2 linked regions of the Diceros bicornis minor genome follow. Each later gene encodes a partner of the first gene's protein in a complex. Links are inferred from orthologs where the notes say so. Each region holds a gene or a part of one and is shown in the gene's direction. Other genes may lie near its edges.

The links.
Region 2: the proteins of TIMM10B (region 1) and TIMM10 are in contact, whole or in part, in a cryo-EM structure (PDB 7CGP), measured with the Homo sapiens proteins. The link is inferred for Diceros bicornis minor from reciprocal best matches to the Homo sapiens genes TIMM10B and TIMM10. Residues at the interface, in NP_036324.1 of Homo sapiens: Gln7, Leu11, Leu14, Arg15, Phe17, Leu18, Leu19, Tyr21, Asn22, Arg23, Met24, Thr25, Glu26, Cys28, Phe29, Val33, Pro34, Ser35, Leu36, His37, His38, Arg39, Leu41, Glu46, Leu49, His50, Ala53, Gly54, Ile57, His61; in NP_036588.1 of Homo sapiens: Ala6, Leu9, Leu13, Glu16, Met17, Asp20, Met21, Arg24, Ala28, Lys32, Cys50, Asp52, Arg53, Cys54, Ser56, Lys57, Tyr58, Asp60, Ile61, His62, Glu63, Arg64, Met65, Gly66, Lys68, Leu69, Leu72, Asp76.

Annotation. Positions count from the first base shown.
Region 1 is NC_080746.1:64,545,874-64,554,822, forward strand, and holds TIMM10B (mitochondrial import inner membrane translocase subunit Tim10 B), read left to right. Parts: upstream 1-5,704; 5' UTR 5,705-5,740; coding exon 5,741-5,776; intron 5,777-5,976; coding exon 5,977-6,072; intron 6,073-6,239; coding exon 6,240-6,416; 3' UTR 6,417-7,147; downstream 7,148-8,949. Other genes in the region: ARFIP2 (arfaptin-2), read right to left, coding at 1,307-1,462, 1,907-2,081, 2,228-2,385, 2,931-3,152, 3,331-3,449, 4,169-4,265, 4,526-4,624. UniProt on the Homo sapiens protein: Component of the TIM22 complex, a complex that mediates the import and insertion of multi-pass transmembrane proteins into the mitochondrial inner membrane.
Region 2 is NC_080770.1:16,394,909-16,403,819, forward strand, and holds TIMM10 (mitochondrial import inner membrane translocase subunit Tim10), read left to right. Parts: upstream 1-4,554; 5' UTR 4,555-4,652; intron 4,653-5,083; 5' UTR 5,084-5,128; coding exon 5,129-5,199; intron 5,200-6,452; coding exon 6,453-6,654; 3' UTR 6,655-6,887; downstream 6,888-8,911.

The DNA of each region.
Region 1 (8,949 bases):
CCCAGCGTGAAGTCTTACTACTTTACCTCTGTAGTCATCCTCTAGCCAACTTTTCAGTCAAATGGAATTCCTCCCGATTCCTACTCAGGGCCTTCACATATGTTGGCCTCTCTGCCTAGGATGCTCTTCCCCCTATTCTTTGCCTGGCTGCCCTCTACTCACCATCAGGTCTCAGCTTTCAGGCTGACATCTCCTCCCCAATCTAGGCTAGATGCCCTCCTCTGGGCTCCCACAGCTCCCTGCACTTCTGGAGCCTAGTACTTGTCACTGTATGGTAGTTGCCTGGTTACTTGTCTCTATCCCCCACTAGGCCATAAGCACTGTGGGCAGGGACCGTGTCTTATCCACTGATGTTTCCCTAGGGTCTAGCGCAGTGCTTGGCAAATAAAAGCACTCAGTAAATATTTGCTGTATGAATGAATGGATGATGAAGGTCAGCGGGCCCAACCCCCTCTGGGCCCTGTGCTTTTAAGATCCATAGCTATCTTGGTGCTGGCCTAAAAGGCAAATAAAGCGTTGGCTGCAACTGGGCTGGGGGAGGAATGAGCCCTCAGACTGTTCCTGAAACATGTGACTTCAGCTTCTGGCCTCAGCTCTTCCAACTCGATAGGATTTTGGTGTATGATTAGACTGAGCATTTTTCCACCTAGCCCACCCTCCTAGAGTCCCCCACAAATTGACCTCACTGGGCCTGCTTTTATGAAAGGTTTATTCCTAGTGCTAGGGCCCAATCTTCCAGGGCTCTAAGCACAATTAAACTGGGTGGGTAGATGAGGGGAGGCCCATTCAGATGCAGGGCCAGAAATGGGACTCCCCATTATCCCCACCCCTTTGGTCCCTGTCCCTTTCTCTGCAATGGACACGCATAGAGGAGGGACAAAGGGTACTGGAGGCAACATCATTGGCCCAGGGGAGCCCAAGAAGAGCTGCCATTGGCTGACAGGGCCTTTTGAGGCTCTGCCATTGGTCAAAGGGCACACCCCCAGGAGCTAGGGATAGGCCTGAGGAGTGATGCCATTGGCCAGGGAGTGATTTTGTCACAGCCTTTGGCTGTGGAGTAGAAGAAAAAGATCTGGGAATGAAGCCCAGTGGCCAGGAAGATAAAGGACAGGGCAGCAGCTGCTGGGCCTGCAGGCCCCCTCCGTACCCACAGCAGTGTGGGCAAAACTGGTGTCAGGCCCCAGCCAGGGAAAGGGAACCCAAGCCAGAGGGCAGGTGGCAAGGAATGTCCCATGTCCAATCTCCCCCACCCTAGGACTGCCCCTCCCAATGTCCTTCTTGATAGCCAGGTTGGGCTGGGAGCAGCTCACTGCTCCTCTAGCCAGGAGGGCTTCTCAGCTCCAGGAGGCCGCAGCTTGATGTTGAACTGCTGCAGGGTCTGCTCCAGTTGTTTCTGGTTCCCAGCAAAGTAGGCTGACACGGCATTGTGGAAGAGCAGCAGCTGCTTGTGCATCACCTTGATCTGGGGGTCCAGCAGAGCCAGCTGAGAATGGACTCAAATGCCCTTCTTGAGGGACTACGAGCCTGAGCCCAGACTAGGGGCACATGGACTCTGCTCTGATGGTGCTTTTGGGGTGGGGGCTGAACTCCAAGGGAGTCAAAAGTTAAGGGTCAATCCGATGGGAGAAACCTGACTTGATCTACTGGACCTGGGGTTCTGGTACCCCAACTCAGAGGATGATTTCTCCCAGTTACATTCCTGGGATCAGCAGCCAAATCCTCCAACAGAATAGGGCCAGGGATCAGAGGGAGGGTGATCAGAAAGGACCAGGGGCTGAGGGGCCTAGGGGAAGATCCCACTCCTTAGCCAGGCTGCATTTCCCCATCCAGTGATGGGGAGGGTCTGGGGAAAAGGTCAATGTTACAGACAGAAAGGTGGGCTGGGTCAAAGGGGTGGGGTTGGCACCTTGTTTTCTTCCAGGAACTTGAGCTTGATGGCCACATCTCCCCGCAGCTTCTCATATTTGTCCCGATGGGCCTGGAAAGTGGCCTGGGCACTCTCGAGTCGACCACGGGTCGCTGCATCCCGAGGGCCTAGGCTCAGCTCCTCTAAGTCTGTTCGGTAGGCATCATATTCCAGCCTGGGGAGGAGGTGATATAGGCTGGTCTCCACCCCTTTGTCCTCCACACACTCTTCTTTCATTCTTCAATTCTTATGCCCTTAAAGCTCAAACTTCCACCCATGCCAGCCAACTCCCCAAACCCTAGGCCCTGCCAGTGCCCACACCTGGCAGCCTCATACTGTTTGACAGTCATGAGTGTGTCTTCCATGGTCTTGGTCACCAATGTGTTGATGCTAGAGACAAAGAAGTTCACAGCCCCTAGCAGTGTCTCTCCATTCTTGCACAGCAGCTTCTGCGTTTCCGCATTGTAGCCAAATTCCTCCTGAGGGCAGAAGGGAGGGGGCAGGCCTTGAGTAACAGTCCCTACCTGACCAGAACTGTAGAGCCCTTCATTCCCCTCCTCCCCAGGGAGGAAACAGCCATGGAAACTGGAACAGTCAAGGACTGCCTCCAGCAAGGCTCTTAGCCAGAAAGTTAGTGGGGCCACCCTGGGGATACCTAGGGTAGGAATGTCGGGTTGGGGTTCTCAGATAAGTTCACAGGACTAGAACAGGGAAAGCTAGTGCAGCAGGCAAGGGAGGGGCTCCAATTAGGCTGAGCACCGAAGGCATTCTCACCTATGCAGAGAAGGGTTACTTGTGGGGCACCTAATGTGCTGCCTCCCCCACCCACTCCGACTTCTGGACCTCTGTACAAACCCTTAGGCTGACTCCACAGGTGAGTGCTGTTGGGGGTAGGGCTGGGCCCACCCTGGAGGGGTTCTCCCTCTGGGCTGCAGGGAGGGAGTGAGGGAGGGAGGCTGAGGGGAGACTGCCTAGGAGGGCCTGGGCCCAGTCCCCCCCACCCTCTTTGGCCTGGCTGAGGCACCTGAAGCTCTGGGGACTTCTGGCTGAGGTCAGCAAAGGCATCACCTAGTGCATGCTGGGTCTGCAGCAGGCTGTAGAGGTGGGCTGTCAGTGCCCGGCCCAGCTGCAGGACACTCTCATACTTGCGCTTTGTCTCACGCAGCAACTCAATCTGCAGCTCTAGCTCCAGGTCCACAGTCCGGGAGCCTCGGCCAAATCGCTCTGATAACAGCTGCTTTGTGCACTGAATGGGAAGTTGGGGAATAGGTCAGAGACCCTAGCACCCTGCCTCCCCAACAGGTATCTACCCCAGCATCCCCAGGCTCCTCGTCTTAGCCACAGATGGGATATTAGGATCTGGAAGGTGGGGAAAAGGTACTCAGGGGGAGTTTTGGGGGAAGGGAGAGGGGCTTGAATCCCACCTTATATGTGTTGATGCCCCATTTCTTGACAATGTCAAACTTCTCTCCAGCGATGCCCCGAGCCACCTCATCTCCAGGGCCAGCAGGAGTGGCACTGTGAGATGGATGGCGGCCAGACCCTAAAGGACCAAGGGTACAACCAGACACCTCTGTGGCTCCACCCACACTTCCCTCCCAGCACATGAAAACAGCTTCTTTGAAGGAGTGGAAGCTAGACACAATTAGATTCACCTACTCACTAGGAGGAACTCATATCTCGGGCCCTGAGACCCAAATCCCAATATATATCTGGCCTCCTTCTGAGGTGGTGGAGATTGGATGGGGAGGGGAGAGGGAGTTGCTGGTGTACAGGGGCAGAGGAAACAAAAGAAAATATGCTGAGTATGGGGTGGCAGGTCAAGGATGGTGGGTCTTGATAACAGGAAACCTGGTTGACACGCTCATGTGGAATCCTAGTCAGTGAGAGATTCAGCGCTGTTTGTTCCTCTAAATTTTAGAGTCTAACGTAAAACTCTGAGAAGCTCACAGAGTTCCAAATCAGCCTCATGCTCCAGAGCACGGGGAACTCCTGTGAAACAGAGTTCTTAACTTGACTCAAGTGGTGGCAGCAGAGAAAGGACAAATGGGCGCATCTCAGGGGCTAAATGGCAAGTGGGAGTAGCTGAACAACACTGGTAACTGGCCTTGGGCTGAGGAGAGTCCATAGGGTTCATACTAGCAGAGGTTCCCAAGATCTCTGGACATAATTCAAGCTTTCTTAGATATATACTACACTCCCCAGAACCATTCCTCTCCCCCTCTCCACTCAAGCTTCTTGGCCTGTTCTGATCATTCATACCTGTGGGGATGAGTCCATCACCAGAGCCCCCATAGCCACCAGACACAATGCTGGTTTCATTGAGATTGGGTCCTGACACCATCACTTGCTGGAGGTCCTATAGGCCAGAGAAGAGGGGGGCTTCAGGAACATAAGGGCAGCTGAAGCATTTTGGGGATGAGAATAAGCTTGGATTGAAGCATCATAGAGAGAGTGCACAAGGGAAGTCTGCACAGAATCAGAATGAAGATTTATAAAAAGATTGAAGGGAGTTAGATAAGTTAGGGGAAGCCTACTGGAATAGGGGGTCAGAGCCCAGGGTTTATAAATTAGGATTCCTAAATTGAAATATTACGGAGAAGAAGCAAACAGAAGCACCTGCTCCAGCCCATCATCCTCAGGAAGCTGCCCAGCTTCGCCGTTGCCATGGATGGGGATCTCCATGGTGGCTGCCTTCCCTAGGATCCCGTCCGTCATGGCTAGGGAAGGGACTGGAGTCAAAGTCTCCACCCCAGCGCCCTGCAAAGCCCAACAGAGACAGTTCTGGAAACTGGCCAGTACTACAGAAGAGGAAGGTATCCCCTGCCATTCCATAGGTTTGAGAGGTTGTTCCAGGGCTTGAGTGTTCTGGGGTTTGGCCACTACTCCTTTCTTCAGGCATGTATTTCTCCCCTCCAAGGCGCATATTTTTACACATTCATACTCAGGCCTCAGGTGTCTTCTCATGACTCCCAACCCCACCAGGACTCTATTGATCATTCATGCATTCAATCATCCAACAGACATTTAATGAGTGCATACTATGTGTCATGCACTATTTGAGGCAACGGAAATACAGTAGCGAACGAGACAGACAAAGTCTGTGCTTTCTTGGAGCTTATCCCCATGCAGGTGTTTCCCCCCATGAGGAGAAGAACCCCTTTCCAGAGCTCAGGTGCCTAACCCCCATTCAGGTATGTTCTCCATTGCTTGGCCTTTCACACTCTTTTAGTGTTTGTTCCCCTTTCCTTCAGGTGGTCTCCCCCTCCTCCATGCCATGCACCTCCTGCCCTACACCCAGGCCTTAATTGAATCAGTTGGTATCTGTTCTTGGCCTCTGAGAAAAGCCTCTTTTTCCCAGGATATAGGTGATCCCTTTCAAAGTCAGTTATGTCGCTCCAGGTGTGTGAATGCCCGCCCCCCCCATACACCTGGGCATCAGGTGTGCCCTCATCCTTCCTCAGGGCTCAGAGGCACCTTGCCCTCAGGACAGGCTTGTGCTTTCAACTTCCCCTTGCCCAAGTACGTCCCTCTCACCTCGGGCCGGGCCGCTCTTCCCCTCAGGGCGCCAGGCCCGGGCGGCGCGGGGACCTCGGGTTCCAGTTCCCGTCGCGATCCTAGCAGCAGGTCAGGGACTCGGCGGAAGTGACGTCCTCTCCCGGGCAGAAGAAGCCGGCCACGTCGCAGATTATAAGGGCGGAGGTGACGTTGGCAGCCGGGGGCAGGGCGATCCTTGAGCCAACTCCTCATTCCTTGGGGAGCTACGAGAGCTTACTTCCGGGGCGTTACCGAGAAGCTGTAACGGAAGTGACGTAGCCGCGCGCCGGCGGCGTGATGGAGCAGCAGCAGCAGCAGCAACAGCTGAGAAACGTGAGTGGGAGCTCAGTCGCTGAGGGGGTATACTTTCAGCTGGCATCCACGTCCGCGTGGCGGGAACCCCAAAGAGCCAGGGGTCCGAGGGCTGGAAACGTCGGGCTGTGGTGCTCGGTGCTGGGAAACCGTGGGCGGCGCGGCTTGAATTGAGATGCGGGCCCCCTTGTCTCTGAGTTCTTGGTCTCCTTTTCTCCCAGTTACGGGACTTCCTGTTGGTCTACAATCGCATGACGGAACTCTGCTTCCAGCGCTGCGTGCCCAGCCTGCACCACCGAGCTCTGGATGCTGAGGAGGTGGGGACCTGAGTAGAGAGGGTAGGCTGCTCCCTCCTTCCCTCACTTCCCCCATCTCTGGCCCTGGCCTTTCCACGACCCCTTGCTCCTAGGCTGGGGATGGGAAGGAAGGAGACGGACCTGACAGGACACCTTTGGCCTCTACTTCCACCCTGTCTTCCTTCCAGGAGGCATGTCTGCACAGCTGTGCTGGGAAGCTGATCCATTCCAACCACCGCCTCATGGCCGCTTACGTGCAACTCATGCCTGCTCTGGTACAGCGCCGCATCGCAGACTACGAGGCTGCCTCAGCTGTGCCAGGTGTTGCTGCTGAACAGCCCGGAACCTCGCCATCAGGCAGCTAGCCATCCCCAACCCCAGGAAGGGAGGCGCTTGATGGACCCTCAAATTGAAGGAGCCAGTAGACCTTGGGCTGGGTGCGGCCTGTATAGAGAGAGAGTTGCTTGAGAGCTGGGTGCCATTGCTCCTTTTCCTGGAGCCAATAAACCCGCTTTTACTCTGTTTCATTTATATTCTGGGCAGGGAAGCTTTGCCCACTTTATTGGGACCATGCTTTGTTTTGTCAGTTAGTGCATATCTGCTGGCTTCAGCCCTGGCAGGTGGGAAATTGCCTTCTATGTCTGGAAGGAAAACCTCAGCATTCCCAGGCAGCTGGTTAAAGCAAGGTCTGTGGGTATAGTTTTAAGGTTAATAATAGCAACAGGAAGTTGGTTTCTGCCCAGAAGACAGAGAAAATGGGAGCTCTCTCTAGTTGTCCTTAACTTAAACCTCTCTGACTTAAACGGCCCACTTTTGAGCCAGATATGCGTTCCTTCATAACTGTTTTTTCATGGACTGTGTCTTACAAGAAGGAATTTTGCCAGATTTAGGGAAAGGAGGCAGTATCTAAGGACAACAGATCAAGAAACCACAGGGCTTTTAGGCACTACCTTCTGGGAAGTCAGTAGCCCCAGGACAGAGATGAAACCTGTAAGAATTTTGGGGTTTTCCGGAACTTCCACCATTTCTTCAAGTTGTTACTTTGTTACTATTTTGTGTCTTCCCTGGATGAGCAGTAAAACCTTTAAACAAAGAAGGTCTATATGCCTTGTCTTCAGGGGCAGTCAGAAAAGGGAAAACTTGGGGGACTGTATTCTGTAATACAGTCAGACTTGAAGGAGAGAAATCTAAGGGAGAAATAGATGGTGGTGGTTATGGGAAAAAACAAGGATAAAGCGAAATCTTTGGGACCTCTTTAATATTACCTTAATGTCTCACTGCTTGTCTGTAATCTAATTCTAGCTCCCCTAACTTCTACCCCACCTTGTTCCCACTGTACCCATTCTGTGATTTCTAATTCCATCTTCTACATTCTTTTCTCATTATTGGCCCTCTTGTGGAGTTTACTTCTGTACTTAGCAGTCTGAATGGCACTCCATCAACACATTTTCTTGCCACCCTTGTGTCCTTTTTGTGTCATTTCAGCTGTTTTATCTTTTCTATTCCTCATTCAAGCCGTTAGAGGAAAACACAGCTGTGTAATGAATGCCACTAAATGTTCAAGGTCTGCAACCCCAACCAAGCCCTCACTACCAACAAGCAACCCTGTATGAGTTCCTGGTCTATTCCCTCTCCTAATCAACATGGCAGTGATTTTACACCTTCACTGCTCTCCTTAATCCTCCACCTCACCCTCAACTATCCCCCATCAGGTGAACACGTTTCATTTTTTACAGAGGAAATGGAAGCTCTTAGACATTAGTTCCCAGAATAATCAAAAACTCCTTATGACCACCCACAAAGCAGATGTTCTCTCTTCTCTACGGATCAGGGAGGTGAAATTCTCCAGTAGCAGACTCTGTATTAAAATGCAGATCTGACTTTAAAATCCATGTGCTTTTTACTACACTAGGCTGCCTCTCAAAGTAATACCTATTGAGCACCCAGTTTGTATAGGTTCTGATGTTGGTATATGTTATGCTTTATCTTAGTTAATCTTTACAACAAAACTATAAGTAAGAGGTATTATCCCCACTTGACAGATGAGGAAGCAAGAATCCAGAATGTACCAGAAGCCCATCTTATACAGTTACCTATTAAGAAGAGTGGTTGCAATCAGCTTTTTGCCTCCTTAGCTGCTGTCTCTTGAACAGAAAAATTTATTAGGAACGTAAAAGTTGCTGAGCAGGAACTTTCCTATTGACTGGCTTCATGTCTACCCAATAAAATTCTGTCCTTGGAAAGTATAAATGCAAGTAAACCATCTTTTGAATTTACCAATTCCCAGAGATGGGAATGAGGCCCTGGGATATTGTGCTGCTGGTGGGAGAATTCTTCTACATTAACATTTGTGTGTATCCTTGCAGTAAACTTCCCTTGTGAATTATCTGTGTTTCCAGGTCACATAATTAGTAATTGCTGGAGCAGGGCTAGGAACATAGATCTGTCTGACTCTAAAGCCTATGTTCTTTGAAATTCCACAGTTTATATTTGCTTGCTCATCTGCACCCATCCAGTCCTTAGGCATGGAAAAACAAGTGGCCCTCAATCTGATCCATCAATTAGTCCCTTAAATTTTCAATCTTTTCTGTCCTGGTTCTTGCTCCTATTTATAAATATGTTTGATACTTAGAAGTACCTTATTCCTACCATCCATCTTCCATAGTTGTGGAAATCTCGCCCTTAGGTCTTGCCATAAACCGTAGTCATTGGCATAATGAGAGCAATGGTGATGTCTCAAGTACAACACAAGAATAAATGTTGACAAAGCTTTATCCCTTTATCACAAACATTGGAAACAGCGTTGGTGTTCCCACCATTGCGGCTTTAGAACTTAACTGCCCACTCATTTGCAAAGACTGATTCCTTTGAGACTATTCAACTATACCACTATCTCTC
Region 2 (8,911 bases), on another chromosome or scaffold:
CAGACTTGGGGGATGTGTCTCAGGGATCACACTGGAGAGAGATTTGGAGCGGGGAGGGGCAAAGAGAAGAGCCATGGCCCAAGTTGATGGGTCGCTGGGCTTAGAGTTCTAGAAAATACAAACCTGAGTTCTATTTTGAACTGAAGTGACTGGTACACAGTAGGCTCTGAACAAATTTTTATACTGAATTGAGATTTAGCTCTGAAAAAACAGAATAAATCTTTGCCTTCTCTATATGCCCTGTGATCTGAAAAAGGTACTACTTTTGGAGAATGTGTGCAAGGGACACCCCTACCACTGACAAAGCTTGTGACTCCCCCAACTGCCTTCCGAGGTCCCCACCACTTGAGCCATACTGGCCTCCTTCCTGTTCCTTCAACAAATTGATTCCTTTCCATACTCAGGACTGTAACCTTTTTGCTTCTGCTTATTGTGAGATGGGTTCCTTCTCATTCTTCTACTCTCAGCTCAAATTTCATTTCCTCAGAGAGGTCTCCATGACCTTCAGTTCCTCTCCATTATTTCAGCCTGTTTTATTTTCTTCATAATATTTATTGGAATCCAAAATTCCCTTATTCATTTCCTTAGTATCTGACTCTCTCACTAGACTCTAAGCTCCATGAGAATAGGAATTTTAGCTACCATGTTCATGGCTATGTGCTCAGGGCCTAGCCAATCGCCTGGTTCATATGAGGTGCTCAACAAATATATATTGAATAAATAAAATAGCTAATAGAAATATGGAATAGGAACTTGGGGCCTATGCCTGGGATGATCTGAAAGCCAGGTCTGGGTACCAATGGTTGAACAGTCCGATATTGATGGTTACCAGATGTCTCCTTCACCCATCTAGAGTTTATCTGCCCAACATTGGTGAGCTTTTCCACACATCTCTCTGGCCTGCTGTTCTATCTGACCACCCCACTATCTGACCCCTTTGAATCCAGCACTCTCCTTAGAGGGCCCCCGAGCTCCCACCCAGCTCTGCCATCCATGGCTCTGGCTTACTCTGCCGTGGAGAAGGCCCGGGTGAAGTTGTGCCGGCGCTACATGGGGTCCAGCACAGAGTAGTCAAAGGCACTGGGGAAGAATTTGTGGATGAGGGCGCAGAAGGCCATGCCACTGCTCCAGCTTGAGGAAAAGTTCTGGATGTCCACGTGCTGTGGGCAAGTGGGGCCCAGAGCAGGCCTTGGTGAGCCTCAGGCCAGGGGGCCTGGACTTTGCCCCTCTGAGTCTCCTTCCCTCTGGGCTTTGTACCACTCAGACCCTCCCCAGCACTACTGCCCTGGGGAAAGGTCCCCTGCCCCACCCCTATGTCCCTGTTCCAGCCTCACCTCGTATTTTTTTGTCATGGCCCGGCATGAACTGAGGTGGAGAAACCAGTCAGGAGACTACTGCAGTAACCCAGCAAGATGGTGGTGGCTTGGACCACAGCATCAGCAGGGCAGGTGAGGAGAAGAGATGCGAATGGTAATAGTGGATGACAGTGATTAAGACCGTGCCAGCCTTCTTTTCTAGCTAATAGAATAACCATTCTGTTCCAGCCAATGGTGTTCTTATTCTCTCATCTCCTGCTCATCTCAGGGAAGTCCACCTAGGCTGTCTCTCATGAGTGGTCAGGGCCCATATGCGATCCTAGGTGACAACGCTCCATCCCTTCCTCTGGGGTATGGTCTCACCCAAGAGGATAAGACTGACTCATGGTGAGTAACAAATACACAATCCCCCTCTGGGAGGTTGGGAGGCTGGGAATGGGGAGAACACAGCATAGAATGAGGGACCAGAGCTTCAGCATGGTCCTGACAGAGGTCAGCAGTTTTGGATGATGTATCTGGATTCCAAAGAGATCTTGGAAGGCTGGGGCTGTATAAACTGTCTTTTACAAGAAGAAACTTAACAGGGACAATTGGAGACTCCTACTTAAAAGGTCCTCAAATCTCCAACTGTATAAATATAGGAAGGAAAAGATACAGTCTCATAGTAGATGGTAACAATAACATCATCATCAGTAAGAACAATGATTTCCCAGGTGGTGAGGGGAGGGGAAAACATGGAGTTGCTGTTCAATGACTGTAAAGTTTCAGTTATTCAAGACGAATAAGTTCTTGAGATCTGCTGTACAACATTGTGCCTACGGTTAACAATATTGTATTGTGCACTTAAAAGTTTGTTAAGATGGTAGATCTCATGTTAAGTGTTCTTGCCACATTAAAAAAGAGACAGTTTTGAGAAATTGGGAGAAATTGAATATATGCATTAGATTATATTAATAAATTACCATAATTTTGAAAATGGCATTGTGGAAAAAAGACTTTATCTGTTAGAAATAAAAATAGATGAGGAAAATATGGCTAAATATTAACAATTGTTAAATCCTGATGATGGGTATGTGTAAGTTCCACATACTGTTCTCTCCTCTTTTCTGTATGTTTTAAGTTAGCCCTAATAAAAGTCTAAAAATAAAAAAAAAAGAACAATGATTTGTATTGAGCGTCTGCCATGGACTGGGTGCTTTAAGTACATTATCTTTTTTGTAATGATTTGTTAAGCTTTTTATTTTGAAATGATTATAGGTTTACAGGAAGTTGCATAAATAGCACAGAGAGGGTATTGAAGGTTAAATCTTACTTAAGATTTATCCACTGAAGGTTAAATCTTACATAACTATATGCACTATCAAAGCCAGGAAATTGACATTGGTAGAATGGTGTGTATAGTTCTATGACATTTTATCACATGCATAGATTTGTATGAACACCTCCACCATCACCACAAAGATCTCCTTTGGGCTACCCCTTTAAAGGCACACCTCCCTCCTCCCCTCACTAACTCTAACCCCGGGCAACCACTAATCTCTTCTCCATCTCTACAATTTTGTCATTTGAGAATGTTATTTAAATGGATATACAGTACGTAATCTTTCATAACACCTTTCATAACCTTTCATTCCTCTTGTAAGAACTCGTCTCCTTTTTCCATGCAATTTCTTAATATTCCATATGTTGACTATATTCTCAAAAGCAAAAACCAGGGCAACATATGTCCATTAAAACATATGTACGATAATATTGAAAGCAGCATTATCATAATAGCCCCAAACTGGAAACAACCCAAAAGTCCATCAACAGGAGAATGGATAAATGAATTGTGGCTTATTCATACAATCAAACACTAGACAGCAATAAGAAAGAATGAATAACAGACATGCATAACAATATGAATGAAATCTTACAGACTGCATTGAGTTAAAGTCAGGCAAGAAACAGAAAATCATGTATAATTCCATTCACATGAAGTTCAAGTGTAGGCAAACCTAATTGAAGATGATAGAAGTCAGAATAGCTGCTAACTGCAGGAGAGGGGGTGTTGACTGGGAAGGAACCTCAGATAACTTTTTAGAGTTCTAGAAGTATTTTGCATCTTGATCTGAGTGGTGGTTTTAAGAATGAATATACCTTTAAAAATTAAGCTTAAGATTCATGTATTTTACTCACTTTGCTGTATGAATGTTATACCTCAATTTTAGTGTCAAGTTACAGACTTTGACAAAGATGAGCCCTTAGAGCAGAAATGAGGCCCAGTGATGAAAATCGGACTTTCTTGGGCAATTAGGAAAGCATATGGTGACCAATCACATAAAGTGTCCAGCCTACCTTCTCCAACGGGCAGTGTACCCTTGCATCATTAATCTGCATCTTCTAAATTTCGTTTATTGGGAAATCTCTTGAAAAATCAAGGGTTGAAGCAGGTTTTTTTGTTGTGGGGGAAGTGCAGATCGAGGGATACATTGTCTTGAAAGATGAAGAGTTCACAAGCACCCTCTTTCTTTCTCACCCAGATGTACTAGGTTAGCTCTAATGGCAGCCAAAATTGCTTCTATTCATCTCTTTATGGCCCAGGGCGTCTAACAGAAGTCGAATAAAACACTGTATACACGTCTCATCTTTCTGCAAGCAGGAACTGTGCCTTGCTTATCTTTGCAACCCCAAAGAAAGCTTAGTGACCCACACACAGCTGTATTCACACAGTCCCTTGGAGCACTGGTTCTTAAACTTGGCTGCACATAGGAATCACCTGGGTCCTACTCCCAGAGATTCTGAATTAACTGGTATGAGGTGAGGCCTGGGCATCGAGATTTTTTACAGCGTCCCAGGTGACCCTAATATGCAGCACAAACTGAGAACTGCTGCTTGGGGGCGTTCCTTCTTCTCCACGCCTGATTTGTGCTCAGGCGTCAGCTCTCTGGAGGTGAGGGAGAGGTGAGGGCGAAGTTCACTGAGCTCTGTCATCCGGCCCCTTTCTACAGAACCAATAGACTCAAACCTTTCCGCGGCAACCCGGCCGACTTGACAACAGGGAGTGCGGGCGCTCTGCGCCCTGCCCAAGCCTCTATGGTGTTTTGGCGTCCCCTCTAGCATTTGCAAATCGCCTTCGCCTTCAGTCGCGGCCGGCCGCTCTCTATGGTAGCCGATTTCCCAGCGCCGCCTCCTTGGTCCTTCATTCCGGAAGCCAGTCTGGATCAAAGAGGCGGGACTTCCCTCCCGGAAGTGACCCACGTGCTTCCGTTTTAGTCTCCCGGGGCGCCCGGTGAATTTCTAGTGTTTGGGCGAAGTTGGGGACACCGAGAGTATTGTGACCGGCCACAGGCCGTGGTGAGTGACCATCAAGGTGACCTTGATGATGGCCCCGCCTTTTCAGGGGTGAGGCCCCTGGGCCGGGGCCCGGGCGCGTTAGCTTGGCGTATGATCGGATTCCCAGCGCCCCAGAGGTTCAGGCCAGCGGTTTAGAGGGTTCGGTTCCGGTCTTTCGATCTGCTCCTGGGTAGAGGTGACCTCGAGGGACTGGGCGTCAGGGCTCCGGGGCTTGATTTTCAGCCCCGCCGTTGACGTGCTGTGTGACCTTGGGCTAGGCAGTGTTCCCTTTCCGGGCCTAAGTTTCCACATCTGCGAAATGGGGTGGCTGAACTCACTGATGTCAGTGGCCCCTGCCGGTCTGATGCCTTGTGATTGCCCCGCATCCTCTAGCCTCTAGGATGGGAAAGTGAACGGGAGGGGTGGTTGCTGACGGTGATGTCTGCTCCCAGGACAAGGAGACCAGAAGGAGATCTCCTCGACGGTGCAGGGCTGAGATGGATCCGCTCAGGGCCCAGCAGCTGGCGGCGGAGCTGGAGGTAGAGATGATGGCTGATATGTACAACAGGTAAAAATCGACTCTGTGCTACCTTGTCTTAGAGATTGATCCTGGGTCGCCCATTCAGAGGGCAGAGGTGGATGACTTCTGAAAAATGCTTTCCTCCATCTAGGCCCGTGCTTACCACTGCCCGCACCCACTCACCCCCACTTTCCGTGGTTGAGGATTAATGCAGCCGCAGTATGGGGTCACTAGAACGAGTTGAGCATTTAGATTGGGATGGAATTGGCGATAAAGGAGCCGAGTGGGAAGTGAAGCTCCAGTCCAGGCTCTGGTTAGCTTCAAGAACAGTTGAGCATTTACCTGTTGACAAAGAGCCCGCAGCCCACTTAGTAGTTCATGTTTCTTAAACCCGGTCTCTACCTCAGGTGCTTGCTGAGCATTTTACACGCATTATCTTTTTTCATCTTCAAACTAATCCACTGGGTTAATTTTCCTTGTCCCATTTTAAGGTGAGGGCATCGAGGCTTCTAGAGCTTCAATGACTTTCTCAGGGTCCACAGCTGGTCAGTAGCAATGTCAGGACCAGTACCTCACTCTGACTCCAAACTAGTCCCGTAACCATTTGGCAAATGAGGGAACAAATCGTAGCTCCACCAGTCACCCCCAGTATGGTCTTGGGCAAGTTACTTGGACTGTTTGACCGGTGGTTTCCCCATCTATAAAATGGAGATAATAGTACCTACCTCGTAGGGACATCATAAATATTAAATGTAAAAACGTATGACAAGCTCTTAGCATCAAGCCCAACACATAGCAAGCAGTCAACTAAGGTTTGCTATTTTTATTGGCTTAAGCTCTCTGGTAGCCTCTCTTGATTAGTTGGTTTATCTTGGAGGATATATATTGGAATAATTTTTAAATGTAGGCTGTGAGGTCACACTACCTGGGTTCAGCTCCCGGCTGTATGGGAACCTGCGGCCCTCTGTGCCTTCAGTTCCTTATCTGTCAAATGGGGGTAATGGCCGTGCCTGCCTCGTAGGGTTATTAGAAGGATTGCATAACAGAATCCATGTCAGCTCTTAGCATGATGCCTGGAACGTAGCTAGTACTCAACTAATGGTTCTTCTTTAATTAGTCATAAACATGGGCTCAAACAAGGTTCCTCCTTTCAAGGAACTTTCAAGATGGTTGAGGTGCAAATTGAGGATATACAATACCTTCTTGGGAGGTGGAATCCGTACAGCAGGGCAGGAATGGTGGAGAGTTCCTGGTGCGCCTCGGGATGCTGCTAACCTGACCTTGCCCTTCCTTCCCCCTAGAATGACCAGTGCCTGCCACCGGAAGTGTGTTCCTCCCCACTACAAGGAAGCAGAACTGTCCAAGGGCGAGTCCGTGTGCCTGGACCGGTGTGTCTCCAAGTACCTGGACATCCATGAGCGGATGGGCAAAAAGTTGACAGAGTTGTCAATGCAGGATGAAGAGCTGATGAAGAGGGTGCAGCAGAGCTCTGGGCCCGCGTGAGGCCCCAGACAGAATACACCCCAAGGTGCACCGTGCCCCTTCCCACTTGTCTAATAAAAATGCCCGCACTGGGTGTCATCTCTGAAGACTGCCAGGCCTAGGCTCTCTCTGGAGAGTCTGCAGGAGACTGGAGTATGGTAGAGCTCTCTTCTGGTCGAAGAAGGGGTATTTGTCACACTGGAATGTGACTGTGTATGTGTGTGTGTATATATATTAAAGCAAGTTTGTTGACACCTACTGTGTGCAAAGCCGTGTGCCTGGCGCTTGGGAGTAAAGGCAGCAGACACAGCCTCTACCAGCAGAGGGAGTCTGATGTAGCGTTTAAAAGTATAGACTAGCGTGATGGCTTAGGTTAGCACCCCAGGTGGCCACTTGCTGTGTGACCCTGAACATGTCACTGCACTGTGCTTTAGCTTTGTCATCTGTAGAATGGGGATAATTATAGGGTTCCTGTGAGGATTAAGTGAGTTAATATGTGTAAGGCATTTAGAATAGTGACTGGGGCATAGGAAGTGCTCAGTGAGTATTAATTTTATATATATATGTTTAAATATCAACTTAAAATTTAGTGGAGGCAGGCAGGCATTTTCACAAATGATATAAAGGAATGATTTAGAAGAGAGGGTGAAAAGTAGATGGAATGTAAGAAGGAAGTAGCCAACCTCTTGGTTCTAAATTGCAAGACTGAAACATGTGAGGGGACCCAGCTTCTTGTGTGATGTGAGTGACCCTGCCTGGTAAGTGATCAGAGAGGGGACTGAGTGATGGCCACTGCCGTTCAGGCTCGCCTGGATCGGGACTGCGCTCCTCTTCGTATGACATCCAGTCTGACCTGCCTATCTGGGCTAAAGGTCCTAGTAGAAAATGGAGGCTCAGAGGGGTGGTTGCCTGTGGAGGGCACATGAGGGGAGCAATCACGTGGAGGCTGGGGCTGACTGCTGCATTTGCTATTTCGCTGGGGAGAGGCCACATCTCATTACTGTCCTGAGGAGTGCACTTGAATTGTGCAGCTTTCAGAATGTATGGATCTCTCACTCCAGGTGGGATTTTGGTTGACATCACTGCTGCTGGGATGGCAGTCCCTTCACATGGGTCTTCACGGTGGAAGGAAGTATCTGGGAGATAAACTCACCAGGTCATTGGGGTGGAGTAAAGGAAACAGAATAGAAGTATTGAGTTTGGGGCTCAAAAGTGCAGGTTGAAGCCAGACCGCCTGGGGTGAAATTTTCTAGCTGTCTGATCTTGAGTGAGGTTTTCACTGCCCTGTGCATCAGTTACCCCACCTATAAATTGGCAATAAAGGTACCTACCTCATTGAGTGGTTGTGAAAATTAAATGTGTTAATAGCTAAGCCCTTAGGAAAGTGCCTAGCTCTCTCACGTTAAGTACTCAATAATGTTAGCTTTTTTTTTTTTTTTATTGCTAAGTTTGGTGTGAAGAGACACCGGATAGGCCCTCAGGAAGCTTCAGAACCATCTACCTTCCTGGTTGGTGGGCAGAGAGCTAAGGCTTGTTTTTTAGGTACTGAAGGGCAAATTTGGGTCAACAGGTGGCGCTGTCTGCTCACAGACTCAGCCCTGCAAATGCGTATTCTCTGCCTGTTCTATGTGGGCGTTGTGCTAGGAAGAGGGGAGTGGTGAGGAAAGTAGATATTGTACCTGCCCTTGAGTTTAGTAAGGAATATCAAAAATCTTCTGATAGCACATAGCTGGACCATCTGGAAGGGATGGTAGGAGTGGAGAGAACAGTACTTGCAAAGGCTCTGAAGTGGCAGAGTAGTGTGGAGCATTCAAGAAACAAAGCTTCAGTGTGCCTGGAGTGCTAAGCGTGAAGGAGATCATGGTGAGAGATGAGGCTTAAGGGCTGGGCGGAAGAGCCTGATGAGCTGTGTTAAGGAGTTTGGATTTTTTCCTACTAATGGCCTCAGCAAACTGTCAAAAGATGTAAACCCTGGTGGTGAAAATGACAGATCTACGTTTTAGAGGCTACCTCTAGCTGCTAGCCAGGTCGATGGTGGTACATGGTGGTAGATAATGGATTAAGGGGAGACGTGCCGGGGAGCCGGTAAGAATAGCTACTGAGCCGCTACAGTGTGCTAATAAGTACGTTATTTCAGTTAATCCTAATAACAGCTCTAAGGCAGGTACGATTATTTTCATTTCATAGATGAAGAAGCTGAGACTGAAAAGTTAGTAACTTGCTGAAGATCACACAGCAAGCAAGTGGCACAGCCAGGAGTCCAATTTACTCAGACACC